2 linked regions of the Tamandua tetradactyla genome follow. The protein of the gene in region 1 interacts with the protein of each later gene in a pairwise test. Links are inferred from orthologs where the notes say so. Each region holds a gene or a part of one and is shown in the gene's direction. Other genes may lie near its edges. The genes, in order: AP2M1 and TGOLN2.

The links.
Region 2: the proteins of AP2M1 (region 1) and TGOLN2 interact in a two-hybrid assay, tested with the Homo sapiens proteins (2 studies listed by BioGRID). The link is inferred for Tamandua tetradactyla from reciprocal best matches to the Homo sapiens genes AP2M1 and TGOLN2.

What each region holds. Positions count from the first base shown.
Region 1 is NC_135336.1:2,441,335-2,449,926, forward strand, and holds the start of AP2M1 (AP-2 complex subunit mu), read left to right. Parts: upstream 1-4,861; 5' UTR 4,862-4,975; intron 4,976-6,908; 5' UTR 6,909-6,951; coding exon 6,952-7,025; intron 7,026-8,592. Other genes in the region: DVL3 (segment polarity protein dishevelled homolog DVL-3), read left to right, coding at 445-660, 749-1,185.
Region 2 is NC_135343.1:59,576,750-59,584,747, forward strand, and holds the start of TGOLN2 (trans-Golgi network integral membrane protein 2), read left to right. Parts: upstream 1-4,404; 5' UTR 4,405-4,469; coding exon 4,470-4,515; intron 4,516-4,756; coding exon 4,757-5,883; intron 5,884-7,069; coding exon 7,070-7,153; intron 7,154-7,998. UniProt on the Homo sapiens protein: May be involved in regulating membrane traffic to and from trans-Golgi network.

The sequences.
Region 1 (8,592 bases):
CTTCCATATTCCCCCAACTTCTTACCTCTAAGTGAAGAGAAGAGAAAATGGCCAAATAAAGTTTTACTCCTTCTTCCAGTCCACTGAGCAGAGGACAATCTGCCAGAAACTTGGTAGGGGGGCTCCAAGGGATTGGAAGATGGGTGTCAGAATTTGGCACTGAGCATCTGAAATAGTGACTCAGGGCATTCCTGAGGAAGGTTTTCCCTGGGATTGTCTCTGCCAGGTCTCCCACCCCATGCCCCCAGCAGGTGGCAGAAGGGTCCAGAGGAGACATGAGATCTAGCAGCTCCCTCCTCCCATTCAGATCAGAAATTCCACTGCTGTTGGGCAGTTATCCAAAGCCAATCCACCCAACCTAGGCTGGGACCCCTTCTCTCCTAATCAAGATGTGTAGGGGCAAGGGATAGACCTAACTCACAGGCCTTCCCCTTGCCTCCACAGACATGGCTAACTTGTCCCTCCACGACCACGATGGCTCCAGTGGTGCCTCTGACCAGGACACACTGGCCCCTTTGCCACACCCCGGGGCTGCTCCTTGGCCCATGGCTTTCCCTTACCAGTATCCACCACCTCCCCACCCTTACAACCCCCACCCTGGCTTCCCAGAGCTGGGATACAGCTATGGCGGGGGCAGTGCCAGCAGCCAGCACAGTGAAGGTAAGGCAGAGGGGGGTGTGGAAGGGAGCTGCAGACGGGCTCCCAGCTCGCTCTACAGGATTTCAGCATCCCTACCCGGCCCCTGCAGGCAGCCGGAGCAGCGGCTCCAACCGCAGTGGCAGCGACCGGCGGAAAGAGAAGGACCCAAAGGCTGGGGACTCGAAGTCAGGCGGCAGTGGCAGCGAGTCAGACCACACAACACGCAGCAGCCTGCGGGGACCGCGGGAGCGGGCTCCTAGCGAGCGCTCGGGCCCGGCAGCCAGTGAGCACAGCCACCGCAGCCACCACTCGCTGGCCAGCAGCCTCCGCAGCCACCACACGCACCCAAGCTATGGGCCTCCTGGTGTGCCCCCACTCTACGGCCCCCCAATGCTGATGATGCCCCCACCGCCCGCAGCCCTGGGGCCCCCAGGGGCCCCCCCGGGCCGTGACCTGGCCTCAGTGCCCCCAGAACTGACCGCCAGCAGACAGTCCTTCCGCATGGCCATGGGAAACCCCAGTGAGTTCTTTGTGGATGTGATGTGAGCAGGGCCCCTCACCCACTGCCAGCCTTTCCCACCCTGCCAGCTGCGTCCCTCTCTCCATCCGTCCATCTTTTTTACTTTGGTACCTGAAAGGGAAATAAACGGAACTAAATCCAGACACCCTAACTGCTTATGGGGTGCTGGGAGGGTAGAGTATACCCACCAATTGGCTCTGCAGCCCCTAACCTGCCTTTGGCCGGGCTTCTGCCCCCTACCCACTAACCTCTAGACCGGACTTCCCAAGATACTTCATTTCTCTGGCCTGCAGGTGATTAGACATGCTGTTGCTGCTGTTCACACCTTACCCTCCACACACACTTTAGGAGCTGACCCCAGCAGAGTCCCGGGATCCCTGCTCACCCCACCCCATTCTTTCCTTTTCCCCCTCAGGTCCTTTTCACCGTTCATTCAGCTACACCAGCTCCCTGTTAACCCACCTTCTCAAGCATGTGTGCAAATCTCTTGACTTTGCCCCAGAATGCTGCCACCCAACTACCACACACAAAAAAATTTTTTTCACTTCATCTGCTGCCCCTAACTTTTCCCTGCCTGCTGCCTCAGCCCTGCACTCTAGAGCTATAGTCACCTCCAGTAACCACCCATGCTGTCCCTGCCTGTGCTCAGCCCTGACCAGAAGCCCAGAGGGTCCCTCAGTTGCTTGAGCTGCTATTACATTCCAGCGAGCATCTCTTCTCAATTTCCCTCCACTCCCCGCCGTGCCTGGCCTGCGTGCTGGCTCCTTCAGACTCCTAACATTACTAACAAACAGGCTCGTCTCACCTCTGGGCCTGAAATATTTCTTTTCTTTGTTTTTTCCTTCCCCAATTTTTCCTGGGCCTGGAGCAGCCAAGAATTTCGGGCTGTTTGACTTTCTGTGAGTCGACAGCGAGGGCCTCCGAGGAGACCAGGAGCCCTACTTCAACAGCCCCTCAGGGCTCCCCAAGGATGTCCAGCCCCCACACCCACACTTTCAGCCTATTGAGTCACTAGGCTTCTTTGGGAGGGCCCCAGCCTCTCACCAATCACCTTTCCAAAGTGAATGTTCTCTCTCTCTCATTCTCTCTACTTCTCTTTTTCTTTCACACACACACACCGCACAAGGTGGCTATACAAGTTTGCTTAATCTCAGGGCTGGTCCCTGCTCAGAGGACTGAACCCCTCTTTTCCAGTTCTTTCCCAGGTTGTGGGGCCGGTTCCCTGACTTCCCTCTCCCCTCATCATAGTTGTAAAGCTTCCCACACTCATCCTCTCATCGTCCTACCTGGATAAGGCCCATAAGCTGGCTCTAAGTGGGCTCAGCAGAGGACTCCCCAAGCAACCGACAAAGGCCATTGTCACCACTACCACTCTGCCCCCACCATACACACACGCTTCCTTGTTTCCACATTAACCATGACCCCAGAGCAAGGACACAGGAACACATGAGACAGTTGAAGTTGGACAGGGGAACTTTTGGGACTTCTAGACAGTGCCAAGTTTTCTTGTATTACTTTAGTCTCTCCTTTAAACAAATCATAACTTCTTTTTAAGTCTCTGCCATAAAATCTCCTGGCTCACCTACACTCACCTAGGTCGGAATGTTAAGAGTGAGGTGAAGTCCTTCGTGCCAGGCTTTGGGGCAAACCAAGGTAGGAGCGTTTTGGCATTCATTCATTGAACAAATACTTCCTAGAGTTTTGGTGAACAGAGGGCTGTGCTGGAAGTGTGCTCAGTCTTCCCTGCCCTCTGGGAGCTCTGGGTTTGCTCCTATCCAGGGCTATGGCTTCCTCTAGCCACACTACAGGGCTGTCTCCTGTACTTCTCTTCCCTTTCTGACTCTGCCTTGTTCAACTCTCTTGAGAATTCCTCCACTACTACACAGGTCTTTAGTATCGGTGCCCCCCCTCCCCAAGTTCCTTCTTTGGTCTATTTCTCTTTCCTTTCTACTTATTCCCAAAATGGTCATTGATTGTCCTGTCCTCAATTGCCACTGATATGCTGGTGGTTCCCATATCTGTCCAGCCCCAACTTCCCCACTAAACTTTAGATCTGTATTCTTATTATCCACTGGACTCTATGGACATATCCATGTGGACTCAAGTCATCATCTTCCCCACCAAGTATGTTCTTGAATTCTATCCTGGTTATCTTTACCACATCTACAAAAGCTCATAAACTAGAACATTTATGGGCTATAATTCCTTCATCCCATATTTTACCAGTCAGCATATCATATCCACTCTATTCCAGCAATCTCTATTGAATTTGGCCCTTCCTCTCCCCTCTGCCTCTACTTTAGTGCACTGAGTATGGGATTTGGAGTCAGATCATTCTGGGTTTGAATACCAGCTCTACTACTTTTCAGTCATCCCCTTCTAGGAGAATCATTTAATCTTTCTGAGCCTCAGTTCCCTCATATGTAAAATGACGATAATAATACCTACCTCACAGGGTTGTTGTGAGGATTTAAATTAGATATTGTACGAAAAGTGCCTAGCACAGTGCCAGGCACGTAGTAGAGTAGGTGCTCAATAAATGGTAGCTATTATTATTACTGTTGTTATTGTTACTATTATTGACTGAGTTGGCAGGAGTTTAAGAGATATGTGTGGAAGATAAAGCTTTTGGAAAGGTGGGACAGAAGCCTTGAGTGCTGGTTCAAGCTTCAGAAGTGCCTGTATTCACTTATTTAGTGATATCAGGCTGTGATTATGGTTTGAGGGAGGCCAGATCATCCTGCCACATTCTAGCTTCCGGCAGGAGGATGCTAGGGATGGTAGGGTTTGCGACCAGGTTTCTTTTCTTGCCCTTCCTTCCTCCCAGGACAGGCTCAGCCCTGCCCAGGGAAGGCAGGATGCCATCTCTGTCAGATGAAGAAGAGCCAGCAGATTTCAGTCAGGTCCTGCAAAGGCCAGGCAGGCATTTCCTGTTTGAGGATTGGCTTTGTCTCCTCTCAGCTTGGATGTGAAGATTAACTGTCCATCAAAGAGAGGATTTCAAATCCCATGCCCAGTTGAAGTCAACTCACCATATCTCTGAGCAATATATATTTCTGTAACTAGAAGGCATACAGGTCCTGGCCTTGAGGAGCTCAATCATATAGACATAGCTGAGATAGAACATAGACTTATCCATGAAAAGCTCAGCTTGTTTCTTCCAAGTATTTGCCCCCACTCTCCTTGCGGGTCTTGATTCCTGGAAAAAGGTACGTTATTGGACCAAATATATGATGAAAAAGCTTAGGAAATCAGATTCGATTGCCTATTAGAAAGCGGTAAACTTCAGCACCCACTCTTTACAGCCAAATCGTATGTTTGTGTGTAAAGTAAGGACTGCCAATCCTCGGACTCCGGAGACTGAAAAGGCCTACAATAGAGTGCTTAACAGATGGGCTTCAATCAAGCGGCATTAATCCTCTAAGCCGCTCCAAAACAGGGGTAAAAGCAGAGACTACAATTCCCAGAATGCCTAGTGGGGAAAATAGGGTGGGCGGGGCGGCGTACGCGGGGATGTGTATTTCGGACGGGATGGAATAAAGGCTACGCCCAAAGGGCGGGGCGCGTTCCCGAAGGCTGTCGGTAGTTGTAGTTTTCCTAAACTTAGACCTCTCACAACTTAAGCGAGAAGGCCGAGGGGTCTGACGGGACTTGTAGTCTTGGCAGAGGACGAACGCGCACGCGCAGCAGAGGTCGGGGCGGGGCCGCGGCACTGCGGTGAAAGCCGAGGCAGCGGGCTGGCGAGCAGGGGGCGGGCGGACATCTTGGGATCGCTGGAGTGGCCCGGCCGGCCGAGCGGGGGGCCGCAGACACCAGGTGAGAGCGGGATCTGGCTTTGAGGGGTGGAGAAAAGCGCCGCGGGTCGCCTATCCAGCCGCCCAGCTTTGCCCTTGCCTGCACGGCGCTACGCGGAAAGCTGCCCACACCCAGGAGTGGCCTCAGCCCTCGGATCCGGGAGGGAGCTGACGGCGAGACTCGGGCGCCCCGGGCGCGGTTGCGGGATGGTCAGGGAGCGTCCACCTGACCTGCCTGGCGCTTCGTGGGAGAGGGAAAAGCACTAGAATCTTCCCAGAGCAAGGACACCGCGCGGCTCCCCCCTCCCCAAGATCGTGACAAACCTTCTACCCCTCGGCGCCTCCTCCTCTCGGCGCAAGGACGTTTCTCCCATCTCCTAGGACAGTGACACCCCCCGATCCACCTCCGTGAACTGTGACAAGTCTCCCAGCCCCGGCACCCCCCTCCTCCCAGGGTCTCAGTCCTCTGACACAGCCCGCACCCCGCTGCACCATCTTTTCCCGCGGCGGTCCCTGTCCACTGGGCGGAAAGCCCACTACCCTCTTACGCCTCTGCACCCAAACCGCAGAGCAGACTCCGTCTCCCCAGCTTTCTTTTATTCACTGTTGTCAATCTGTCCATACCGGGTTTTCCTCCTCAGCCCCACCTTTTCCAGACTAGAAACTCTTTCCTCTAGGCGCCTTCGTAGCTCTACTTCCCGCTGTATGGGTTCACCTGAGTATGCCGCCTGGCTGTGGCTGCTGGTCTTCTCCCTTGGCTAAATATTCCATTCCTGTCCTGGGCCCCAACTCTGCTGCTCTGGTGCCCTGGAGCTACCTACCACTTGATACCTGTGAACTTCGTTCTTTGCCGAGGACTCTCCCTCCATTTTGCATTTCCTTTTCCAGCTTCTTTGGGACTGCGGGCTGGGATGTGTCCACCACCCTGAGAGACTTCTCACTAGTCTGGTAGACCTTGATGGCCACAGTAAAAGTCTACTTTCCAGTTTAGAAAAGCCTGCTAAACTCTCCCCTATGAAATTAATACCAGGGCTAACCTAGGAAATCTAGAACCAAATTAACTCTTTTTCTCCTCTCAAACTGTCTAAATTAGTTTGACCCAAATAATTTGGGTAATTCAAGAATATCTGACATCCTTGCCCCTTTCTTATGGGCACTCAGACTAGAAGTGAGTTAATTGGTGGGTCTGAATAACAGAAATTCAGATGGGAAAATCAACCTCCAACCCATCCCCTGGATTTAAGAGGGAACCTCTCATTTTGAAAATAACTGTGGTAAGCAAAGCTTGGGTCACTGAAGTATAGTCTGTCTGTCAGGGCGGGGGCTCTTTTGCCTGCTTATCTGACTGCCTGGGAGAAGTTGGGGCCACACACTTAGGTCCATGTCAGGGCCTGAAGCCTCCCTTCTCTCTTCCTCCCTCACCCTGCACACCCTTTCCTGGAATGTGTAAGCCTGTGGAATTAGAGAGCTGGCAGTTCTGGCCCTGCTGCCTTCTTAGAAGGGTAGTAGATCCTGAGAGCTCCTAAGGCTGTGCCTGGGGGCCCCATGCCTGAACCAGCTGGAGTAATTCCTACCGCCATTCCTCCAGCCGCAGTGACTCACTAACTGGAGCCTGAATGAGAATCTGCACAGGAGGGGGCCAAAAAGGAGCCTCTCTGAGCTCAGTGATGTGAAGAGGGGGAGGGGGCCACCGTCTGGGCTCAGCCCCAGAAAAAGGAGGGTCAAAATGGCCTAGATCCTAGGCCCAAGTCCCTCGCAGTCTTTTTCGTCCTTCCAGTGTGGAATAAACAGGAACTGGAGCCTGGCTGAAGGGAGGGGCATGCCTGGAAGGGCTGCAGGATCACTTGCTCAAGGATTGAGTCAGGAAAAAAGCCCCACCAGTGACCTGCACCACCCTACAGGGAATGTTGCAGGGGTTCTTAGACCTTCCTTTACCCTGTCCCTTCCTGTCCTAGGCCTGTTCTAAGAGCAATGGACTGTGGAGACTGAGCTGCCGCCATGATTGGAGGGTTATTCATCTATAATCACAAGGGGGAGGTGCTCATCTCCCGGGTCTACCGAGATGACATCGGGTGAGTCCTCTGGCTGAGCCATCTATGCCCCTACTACCCCTGCCCCTCTCCTCAGCATGCAAGACTAGGTTTATTCCTAGCAGAGGCTTGACTTGTACCACCCTCGCCCCTTGCTGCATCCTGGAAGCTCAGCTAGTACAAGTTGATTCCCATTAGGTGTGCTGGCCTGGCACCCAGCTTGCAGGCTGCTAGGTGAGACTTGTAGAATCGTGTAACTGCCTCAGGCTTAGGACTCCTACCCTTCATGCTTCCTTGTTTCTCTTAGTGACAGACCTGGTTGCTGGAGGAAATGAATGCTTTTTCCCAGGCAGGTTGATTCCTCCTCTGAGTGGAATTAGTGGCCAGGCTGCAAGTCCTAATCCAACTAAGTCTTGTTCTCAAAAGCCCTTTTCACATTTCACGGTGGGAGCCTTCACTGGATTCTCTCAAAAACCTCCCCAGGCTGCCAAATCCTCCCCACCCCCCCTTTCTCAGAAGTAGCCAGGCTGCTGATTCAGCCATTTTCAGTTCCTCTAGGCCATTCCTAGAGGAGAGGTCCTGAGCAAGCCTGAAGCAAACCACAGTCACTGAGGGAAAAACAGGAAGGCCTTGCTCCCTTTCTGGCCTATATGAAGCAGACCCAGAACAGTTCTTTGTCATGAGTCCCTGAGACTACAACAAGGAACCAGAGCCTCACCTCTCATTCTGCCGCAACCTACTCACCACTGTTCTTTTCTGAATGAGGGGTCATAGCCTAGCCTCAGCAGCTCTAATGAAGCTAGGCTTTTCTGGTTCCTCCTGCCGTTTTCCTCCCTCAAAAAGCTCGGGATAAGCAGTGACAGAATGGATATGTTACAGAGCCCCTAGCTCCTTGGTTTCCCAGCTGACAGGCTGACTTGGCCATGGTGGCTGTTTGTCCATTGGCTGGTGGTGGGGCATGAGCTGGAGTTGGGGCAATGCCTGACCTGCCCAAGTCTGGTTGGCTACACCCACCCATCCCACCTGCCTTGTACGGATCCAGTTAAGCCAAGGCCAGGGCACACACCACCTTGCATGCCTTGCTGGGCTCTATCCCCTTGCCTGTCACTTGTCTGCTTCTACCTCATGGTGTGTTCCACTCACCCCAGTGTGTTGTGTCTAACCCTCTCTCTCGTTACTGTCACTCTCCTCGTCTTGCTGGCGTCATTTCTCTCATCCCATCTCATTGGCTGCCGTAGTAATAGGTAAGCGGCCTGTCAAATTGCCGCCCAGGCACAGGTGGGTGGGGGACCCTGCCCCCATCATTGTTTTCTCTCATTCTTTTTCATTCTCTGAACTTTCCCTGGAATTGGATTCTGAATAAGAATGGGTGGCACAGCTTCATGGCCCCTTGGAGGTACTTCTACCCAAACAGCCTTTTGTAAAGTTATGCCTTCTTTTCTTAACTTCTGAAAGAGTAGGCTTTCCCTACTGGTGGGATCACTAGTGAGAGAATTTGAGAAGTAACAGAGTCTCTCATCTGGGCCTGGGAGGTAGCAACTGGGGTATAGCAGTTGTGTTCAAGTCATGAGCGTACCTCCCTAAATCTGATGAACCTCACTTTATTGAG
Region 2 (7,998 bases), on another chromosome or scaffold:
TTCCAGGTTTATCTGTGTGGGAACCTGTTTTCAGTAGTCAAAATTTTAAAATTATTTCCACAATTGGAGCATGATTGAGCTAAGCCCTTGTTGCTAGTAAAGTCTGTTTCCTTTCCCTTTGGGGAACCAGCCTGCTCTGCCCATGGGGGAGGGATCCCGGCGTCCGCAGCTTAGGGAACTTACAGTTCTGCATGGGCTCTCAGCCACTCCACCTGGTCCAGAATGGTGTATGCTGTGTGTCTGGTCACTGATGTTCCCCCAGCAGTTATTCTGTACCATTCCTGGCTATTTACTATCTGCTCTGGAAGACCAACTAAATTCCACACCTCACTGTGCTGCCATCTTGCCCTGCCCTCCTACCCAATCTAATTACCTGTCCACAGATCTTAAGGTCAACCCCTTGTCCGCTGTTAACCACCCTAGACCTCAGCCCCTCATCTCTGGTGCATTGTTCATCAGTCATCTTATCTCTTCGGTAACCTTGATCACTCTTACAGGAAAGAATGAGTTCTTCCCTTAACTCTTTAAATAACTGCAACCCTCTCCCATATTAGAAACCATGTTTCACATCCAAACTTCCAGCAAAAGTAATTTCCATTCACTGCAACCAGGTTTTGCTTTCATGACTCTATTAAAATTCCTACTTCTAGGTCCTTATCCTATTTCAACCTTTTGCTGTATGTGATACTATTGATTTCACTTTCCTTTTAGAAACATTTTAATGACAACTGGGAACCCCTTGAAGTATATTGAGAAAAGAATCAGTGGAAAACAAGGAGGCGATAGCATCCCAGAAGACAAGTGACACGACTAGTAGCACTAAATGCCACACCACAAAGAGGCCCACAAACTAAGAATTGTACATATGGCTTTGTAACTTGTTTTACTTTCAATTAATCAAACATATGCACATATATGACTAAATAAAAGGAAGAACCATCAAAATATTTTTATAATAGTTATTTCTGGATTACAGGATTATTTTATTTTCTTACTGTGGCTTATCTTTATTAATCTTTATATATTGAATGTATTAATAACTATTATTATCATTTTGGAGCTCTAATCACATGCTAGACACCATGTTATATTCCATGCTTTACATGAATTCTCTCATTCTCAGAATATTTTAATCTCCATCTCATAATAAAGCTGATACTTTCAGCAATTAAGTAAATTGCCCAAAGTCATGGGAATCACTTGTGCAATAAATATTAAAGTACAACAGAAAGGGTTTTTTTTTTCCTATCAAATTGTTAGGTGAAATAATAGAGTGATCTTGAGCAAATTGCTTTATCTTTTCTGTGTCTGTCTCATTTTATAAAGCACCTACTGTATTAAACTTAATAAACAGTAGTTACAGTAGAAAATTAAGAATAATCCAGATGTTTAATAATAAGGGAATTGTCACAACAATTATGATTAACTCATAAATGATTCTTTGTGAAACCATTAGCAAATCGTGTTTTTGAGCAATGTTTAACTTGCTTAGGAAATGGCTCCTACATTTCCCTTTGAACTCCATGCCCAGATTTCCAACTCCCTAACCTCCATTGGATTGCCTCAGAGGCATAAGACACAGAGTCCAAAGCAAATTTATTTCTTGTGCCCCATCTCCAGCAATCCTGATCATCTTACCGTCATCCCCCCATGTCCAATCTTTGTGGTGTCTCCTCCCAGATTAATCTTGAATGGGACCCCTTCTCTCCATCCCCAAGCTAGTCCTACTTGGACTAGTACAGGAGTTCCCTAACTGGTTAACTCCTAAATTAACTCTTTCCTTCCCTCAAAAGGTTTGTCATGTTGCAAACAGAGAATTTTTCAAAAATCCCCAGCTTTGATGATCTTTTTCCTCTGCTTAAACCTCTTCAATCCTTTTCATTGCTGTTAAGACAAAACACAAAACCCTGAGGATGGCCAACAAGTTCTGCAGGATCCGGATTTCTCTTTCCTCCCTTGCCAAGTACTTCTAAACCCCATTTCAAACTTAATAATTTGCTTCCCTACCAAATCAGTATCCTTTAACATTAATCCAATGTTTGTTTAGGGAAGGTAGGGAGAATTTCCTTTTATTAGTTAAAATTATATAAAGAGACATGCAATTTTGTGCATGTAACTTACACCACCAAATTGTATATTCAAAAAGGTTAAAAAAAAAAAGGGAGAAATATTAGGTTTTGTATGTCACCACACACATGCAAGCACACAAACCCTTGTGTCATGGTCAGGTTCATGTGTCAACTTGACTAAGTGGTGGTACCTGTTTGTCTGGCTGGGCAAGTGCTGGCCTGTCTGTTGCAATGAGGACATTTCATAGAATTAAATCATGATCACGTCAGCTGCAGCCACAGCTGATTCCATTTGTAATCAGCTGAGGGGAGTGTCTTCCACAATGAGTGAGGCTTAATCTAATCACTGGAGGTCTTTTAAGGAGGGTTCAGAAGAGACAGACTCTCTTCCTGCTTCAGCTGGTGAGCCTCTCCTGTAGAGTTCGTCCAGACCCTCCATCGGAATTGTTGGCTTCACAACCTGCCCTGCGGATTTTGGACTTTACGTTCCCACGGTCACATGAGACTCTTTTGTAAATTTTATATTTGCGAGTGTTCGTATCGATTCTGTTTCTCTAGAGAATCCTAACTAATACACCATGGAACTGTACAACACAATGTAAACAGTGTGCTAAAGTTAACAGCATAATTATAATAATATTGTTTCATGAATTGTAACAAATTTACCACACTGATGCAAAATGTTAATAAGGAAAACTGGGTGTGTGAGAGATGGAGTATACAGGAACTTGGTACTTCCTGCATGATATTTCTGTAAACCTACAATTGTTCTTATATATATATATATATATATATATATATATATATATATAAATTAAGTATATACAGAAACAAATTCAGCTACCAATTCACTTTCTTTAGCCAAAGCAGTACAGTCCTTGTTCCTTAAAATTAGATTTATGCCACGTATTATTCCTTGAAATTATAAAGAATTTGGACTAGAAACTGCATGTCAACAAACTAAATATTGTACTTCACAGATTCCAGGGGAATATTACTTCCCCTGGCAGCTGCAGTCCTTTTGGCAGGAGTGGGGCTTGGTCACATTTCAGCCCCTTAGCTAGCATGACATTTTCTGTTAATCCAGCCTTACTTTTTGTGCCCCCTAGAGATTTTTGTTCAGGACAACTCCCAGTTCATTGACTCCCAGCCTCTTTCTCAGGCTGGATTAACCTTTAGATTTAGGCAAAATGCCAGGTCCCACCTGCTTCAGGCTTTCCCACTTACTGACAGCCAGGGAAGCTCCTCCTCCCTTCTTTTTCCCCAAGGAAAGCCTACATTCTTTGGCGCTCAGCACCAAGGAGCCGTTCTCAACAGGTCTCATGGGCTTCTGTACCTTTCTTCCTTGACATCTATTGGGGTGCACACACATTTGTACAGATACGCCTTGATTAATATTTCTATGTTACACTAGATTCGTGCAGTTAGGCCCTGTCACTGTTTTAATAGCCACAGTCTACCAAGGGCCCAGCTTGGCAACTGTTCATAAAAGATTTTTAGTCAATGTTTAATGAATAAACATAACACTAACTGTAAATAGTGGAAACAAAAGTATTTACCCAATGTTCTCAATTTAGGAAGATAATGAATATGCATAAGAAAGATATAAAGAAAATATGCAAATTAAGGAAGGGAAAATAAGTACATTTGTATTTAATTAAACAAAACAAAACACTAGATGGAAACACACTAAATTGATAAAAGCCCCTGGCAGGGATTTTTTTAAATCCCGTTTTGATTTTTGGACCATCAAAAGTATTATCTAATAGAAAACACTAAATTTTTGCCAAACAAAATAATACTCAACAGCGATTATCGCCAAGGTTGGGACTAAGGTTTTACTTCTTACTTCTATACTTTCACTAAACTTTCGACCTTGAACATGAATAACTTTTTTTTCCTTTTCTTTTTGGTGCATGGTCTCCCGCACGGAGGGCGAGCATTCTACCACGGAACCACCCGTGCACCCGAACACGAATAACTTTTACGATTTGAAAAAAGATGTTTTTTTTAGAGAAGGGCTTGGGCAACCTGGGAGGAAATTGTTTCGGCGAGGTGGGAGAGTGGCGGGGCAAGGAGGACCCGGGGCGGAGGAATGGGAGAGTAGGATCCGGGGCCCCGAAGGGCAGGGCGGGAACAAGGGTGCTGTAAGGGAGGATGTTAACAAGGTTCGGAGCGCGGGAGGGGAAGGCGGGGCCGACGTGGAAAAGGCGATAGGGTCCTCCGCAGGGGCCGCGCAGCGCCGCCGCCGGGCAGCCCCGCCCCCATACCAGAGAGCCAATGGATGGGCTCCAGGAGGTAGGACGGACGGGGAGGTGGTGGGACCACGGGCCCGCGCACGAGAATCCCGCACGCGCATCTCGCGAGAGTGGTTGAGGGCGGAAGCACGGCTCATGCAGGATGCGGTTCCTGGTTGCATTGGTTCTGCTGAGCGTCGCGGCCGGGGGTAAGACCCCCGCTTCTCAGATGTCACTCTCGCCCTCAGACCCACCGTACTTACCTCGGCCCCTCACCTTCTGGGCTCTCTTCTTCCCTTCCCGACCCACCCCTGCACGCGCCATCGTCCTACTCCTCCCCACCCCCACCCCGGTCCTACCGTTGTTTCCCCCGCCCCGGTCTCTTCCAGCCCTAAAGGGCTTCTTCTCCCGGCGTGACTCGCCAGGACCAACAAACGCCTTGTATTTCAGGAGCTGAACGGAACTCGTCCAGCTCAACGACAGTTGCCGATAATCTCGACCACCGTCCTGAAGAACCAAAGGCTGAGAGTCAGTCTTCTGGAGGAAGAAACCCAAGCGAGAACACCGTGAGCCAGCCGAACTCCAGTGGAGGCAGTTCGTACTCCGTAAATGCGTCCTGCGTAGAAGGCTCTAACAATACGGACCTTAGAAAACCGTCCCTCAGAGTAGACTCCAGCAGTTCGAACCCGGAAAAAACGTCCTCCAAAAAAGGTTCTAGCAATCCGGGCCTGAGAAAGCTGTCCCCCGAAGAAGGCTCCAGCAGTTCGAACCCGGAAAAAACGTCCTCCAAAAAAGGTTCTAGCAATCCGGACCTGAGAAAGCTGTCCCCCGAAGAAGGCTCCAGCAGTTCGAACCCGGAAAAAACGTCCTCCAAAAAAGGTTCTAGCAATCCGGACCCGAGAAAGCCGTCCCCCGAAGGAGGCTCCAGCAGTTCGAACCTGGGAGAACAGTCCCCGAAACAAGGCTCCAACAGTTCGGACGTGGGAAAACAGTCCCCTAATAAAGGCTCTGGCAGTTCGGACCCGGAAACACAGTCCCCCAGTGAAGGCTCCAGCAGTTCGAACCCTGGAAAAGAGTCCCCCCCAAAAGGCTCTAACAGTCCGGACCTAGGACAACAGCTGTCCACGAACGAAAGCTCTAGCAAGCTCGGGTCCAAAGGATTATCTAATGGCGAGGATGCTGACTTGGAGAGGAAAGCTGACAATAGAGAGCTTGTCATACCTGTTTCTAAGACAGAATCTGGGGAGAAAGTATCAACAGACAGTGACCGCACTTCTCCCCGGCAGGAGGGAGAAGATAAGTCTTTAGCTCCTACTGAAGATCTCCAGCCCAAGGAGCCTGAAGAAGGCAATACAGAGCCTGAAGAGGATTTACCACCCAAAGAGATGTCAGGCCCTGCCCCCAGTGAGAACCAAGAAGGTCCGCTTTTGAATTCCGTGAATAGCAGGGAATCCAGTGTCCTTTATAAGGGCAGTCCTGGAAGTGCTAGTGCAGAGAGCAGCCACTTTTTTGCGTATCTGGTGACCGCAGCCGTTCTTGTTGCTGTCCTCTATATTGCTTATCACAACAAGCGAAAGGTAAGTCAAGAGTTGCCTTAGAGAGGGGAGATCTTGGTGTATGGGTCAGCAGCCCCTCCTTAGCCCAGAAGCACTGGAGATTTTAAGACAAACCATTTTTTTCTTCAAACCCTGCTAGGGTCCTTGACGCCTGTTTTATAAATCATTTGTTGCCTATATCATCTATTACCGATTTCCTCTGAGTGGCCTCTGCTGCTGCATTAGGTGCCAAATTGGGATGTTAAGATCTGACCTGAAGTGAGTCCCCCCGCCCATAATCTTGAACTAAGACCCATGACTAGGTTCAGAGGAGCTGAGTACCTGCCGGTTTATAAGTACTTAGAGCATCTGTCTCCCCTTGCTTCTGCTTTTGAGATGTGTGCGTCACGTCTGGCTTCCTTTCTCAAGCTTCTGTCTTCCTTGCACAGTGGCAAAAAGAATGTCTGTAGTGGCAGATAGTCTTACATGTCAACAGCAAGGAGCCCAGGGACTACAGTCAGTGGGGTTTTTGATCTTTAAACAGAAGCCCAGAAATTGCACTTCTTTTGCAGGGTTTGGTGTGAAGTGATATTAGTATCCCTCTGCAAACACTTCAGTGACTAAAGAATCACATTTCCTGTTGAGCCCCAGGAATTTAGAAGACCATCAGACCATGGTTGTAAGGGATGAAAGAAGGCTTTTAGTAAAATTGTGCATCCCTTACTCTACAGCCAAGATTCCTTTGAGGGAAATAGCCTTTGGAGTGGAAAGAGGGAGGGAAAGTTACAGAGTGCAATTGAAGAAGCAAAATGTGGGGTGAAAGTATGTTTGCAGTTGTGAAATAATAATTATTATGATTAAAAAGTAAAAAGGGAGTGCCCTAGCCTGGAAAATTCAGCCTCTGGATCTCTTTGGGGAGGGATTGGCAGACCTGTCAGCTCACTAGTAATATTTGATCAAGTGCTGGTGAGTCAACTCCCACAAGCTAGAGCCCAGAGGAGCTTTCCCGCAATTGTTTTCTGTTGAGGAGTATAAAGGATTCTGATGTAACTGGGTCCTGTCCTACTAAAATCATTAGGATTTAATTAGGATTCTTTGTGGGTATAATGTTCTTTCTACAGTCACGGTCATTAAAAATGTAGTACCAGGATAACTGCCTCTGATTTCAGACCCTGGAACATATCATTACAGAGCCCCCTGCTAATCCTTTCCTTTTTCCTTTCCCCAGATTATTGCTTTTGTCCTGGAAGGAAAAAGATCCAAAGTCGCACGGCGGCCAAAGGCCAGTGACTACCAGCGTTTGGACCAGAAGGTAAGGAAGGAAGAGCCACGTTCACAGAAGTGATTAGCAACCTCAGGTGGGCCCAGAAGCAGGCTTGCACTTAAAAATAGGAGGAATTGGATCTCTGGAGCTGCTGGACAGTGGAGGCATTGAGGTATATGTACCAACCAGGTAGCAGCTAGAAGAGACCTTCAGGTATACCACTTCACTTCCCTCCCTTGACAGATGAGGAAACTGAGGCCCAGCAACATTTTTTTTTCCTCAGTTCCCAGTACAAGTTAGTGGCAAAATGAGGATGTGATAGCAACTCTCTAGATTCCTAAATCCTGTGCGTTTTGCACTATACTAGCACTTTGCACATTTTAGTAGGCATACAAATCATCTTGGAATCTTTTTTTTTATTGTGGAATATAACATAAACAAAAAAAGCAATAAATTTCCAAGTACATTTTAACAAGCAGTTTTAGAACAGATGTTAAAGTTTGTTATGGGTTCCAGTTCCATGATTTTTCATTTTTTCTTCTAGCTGCTCCAAGACACTGGAGACCAAAAGAAATATCAATATAATGATTTAGCAGTCATACTCATTTGTTAAATCCTATCTTCTCTGTTACACTCCTCCTCTTTTTTGTGATGAATAACATATACAAAAAAGCAACAAATTTCAAAGTACATTGCAACAATTAGTTGTAGAACTGATTTCAGAGTTTGGTATGGGTTACAGTTCCATGATTTCAGGTTTTTACTTGTAGCTGCTATAAGGTACTGGAGACTAAAAGAAGTATCAGTATACTGGTTCAGCAGCCATACTCATTTGTTAAACTTTGCCTTCTCTGTATAACTCCACCATCACCTTTGATCTTTCTCCCAATCTT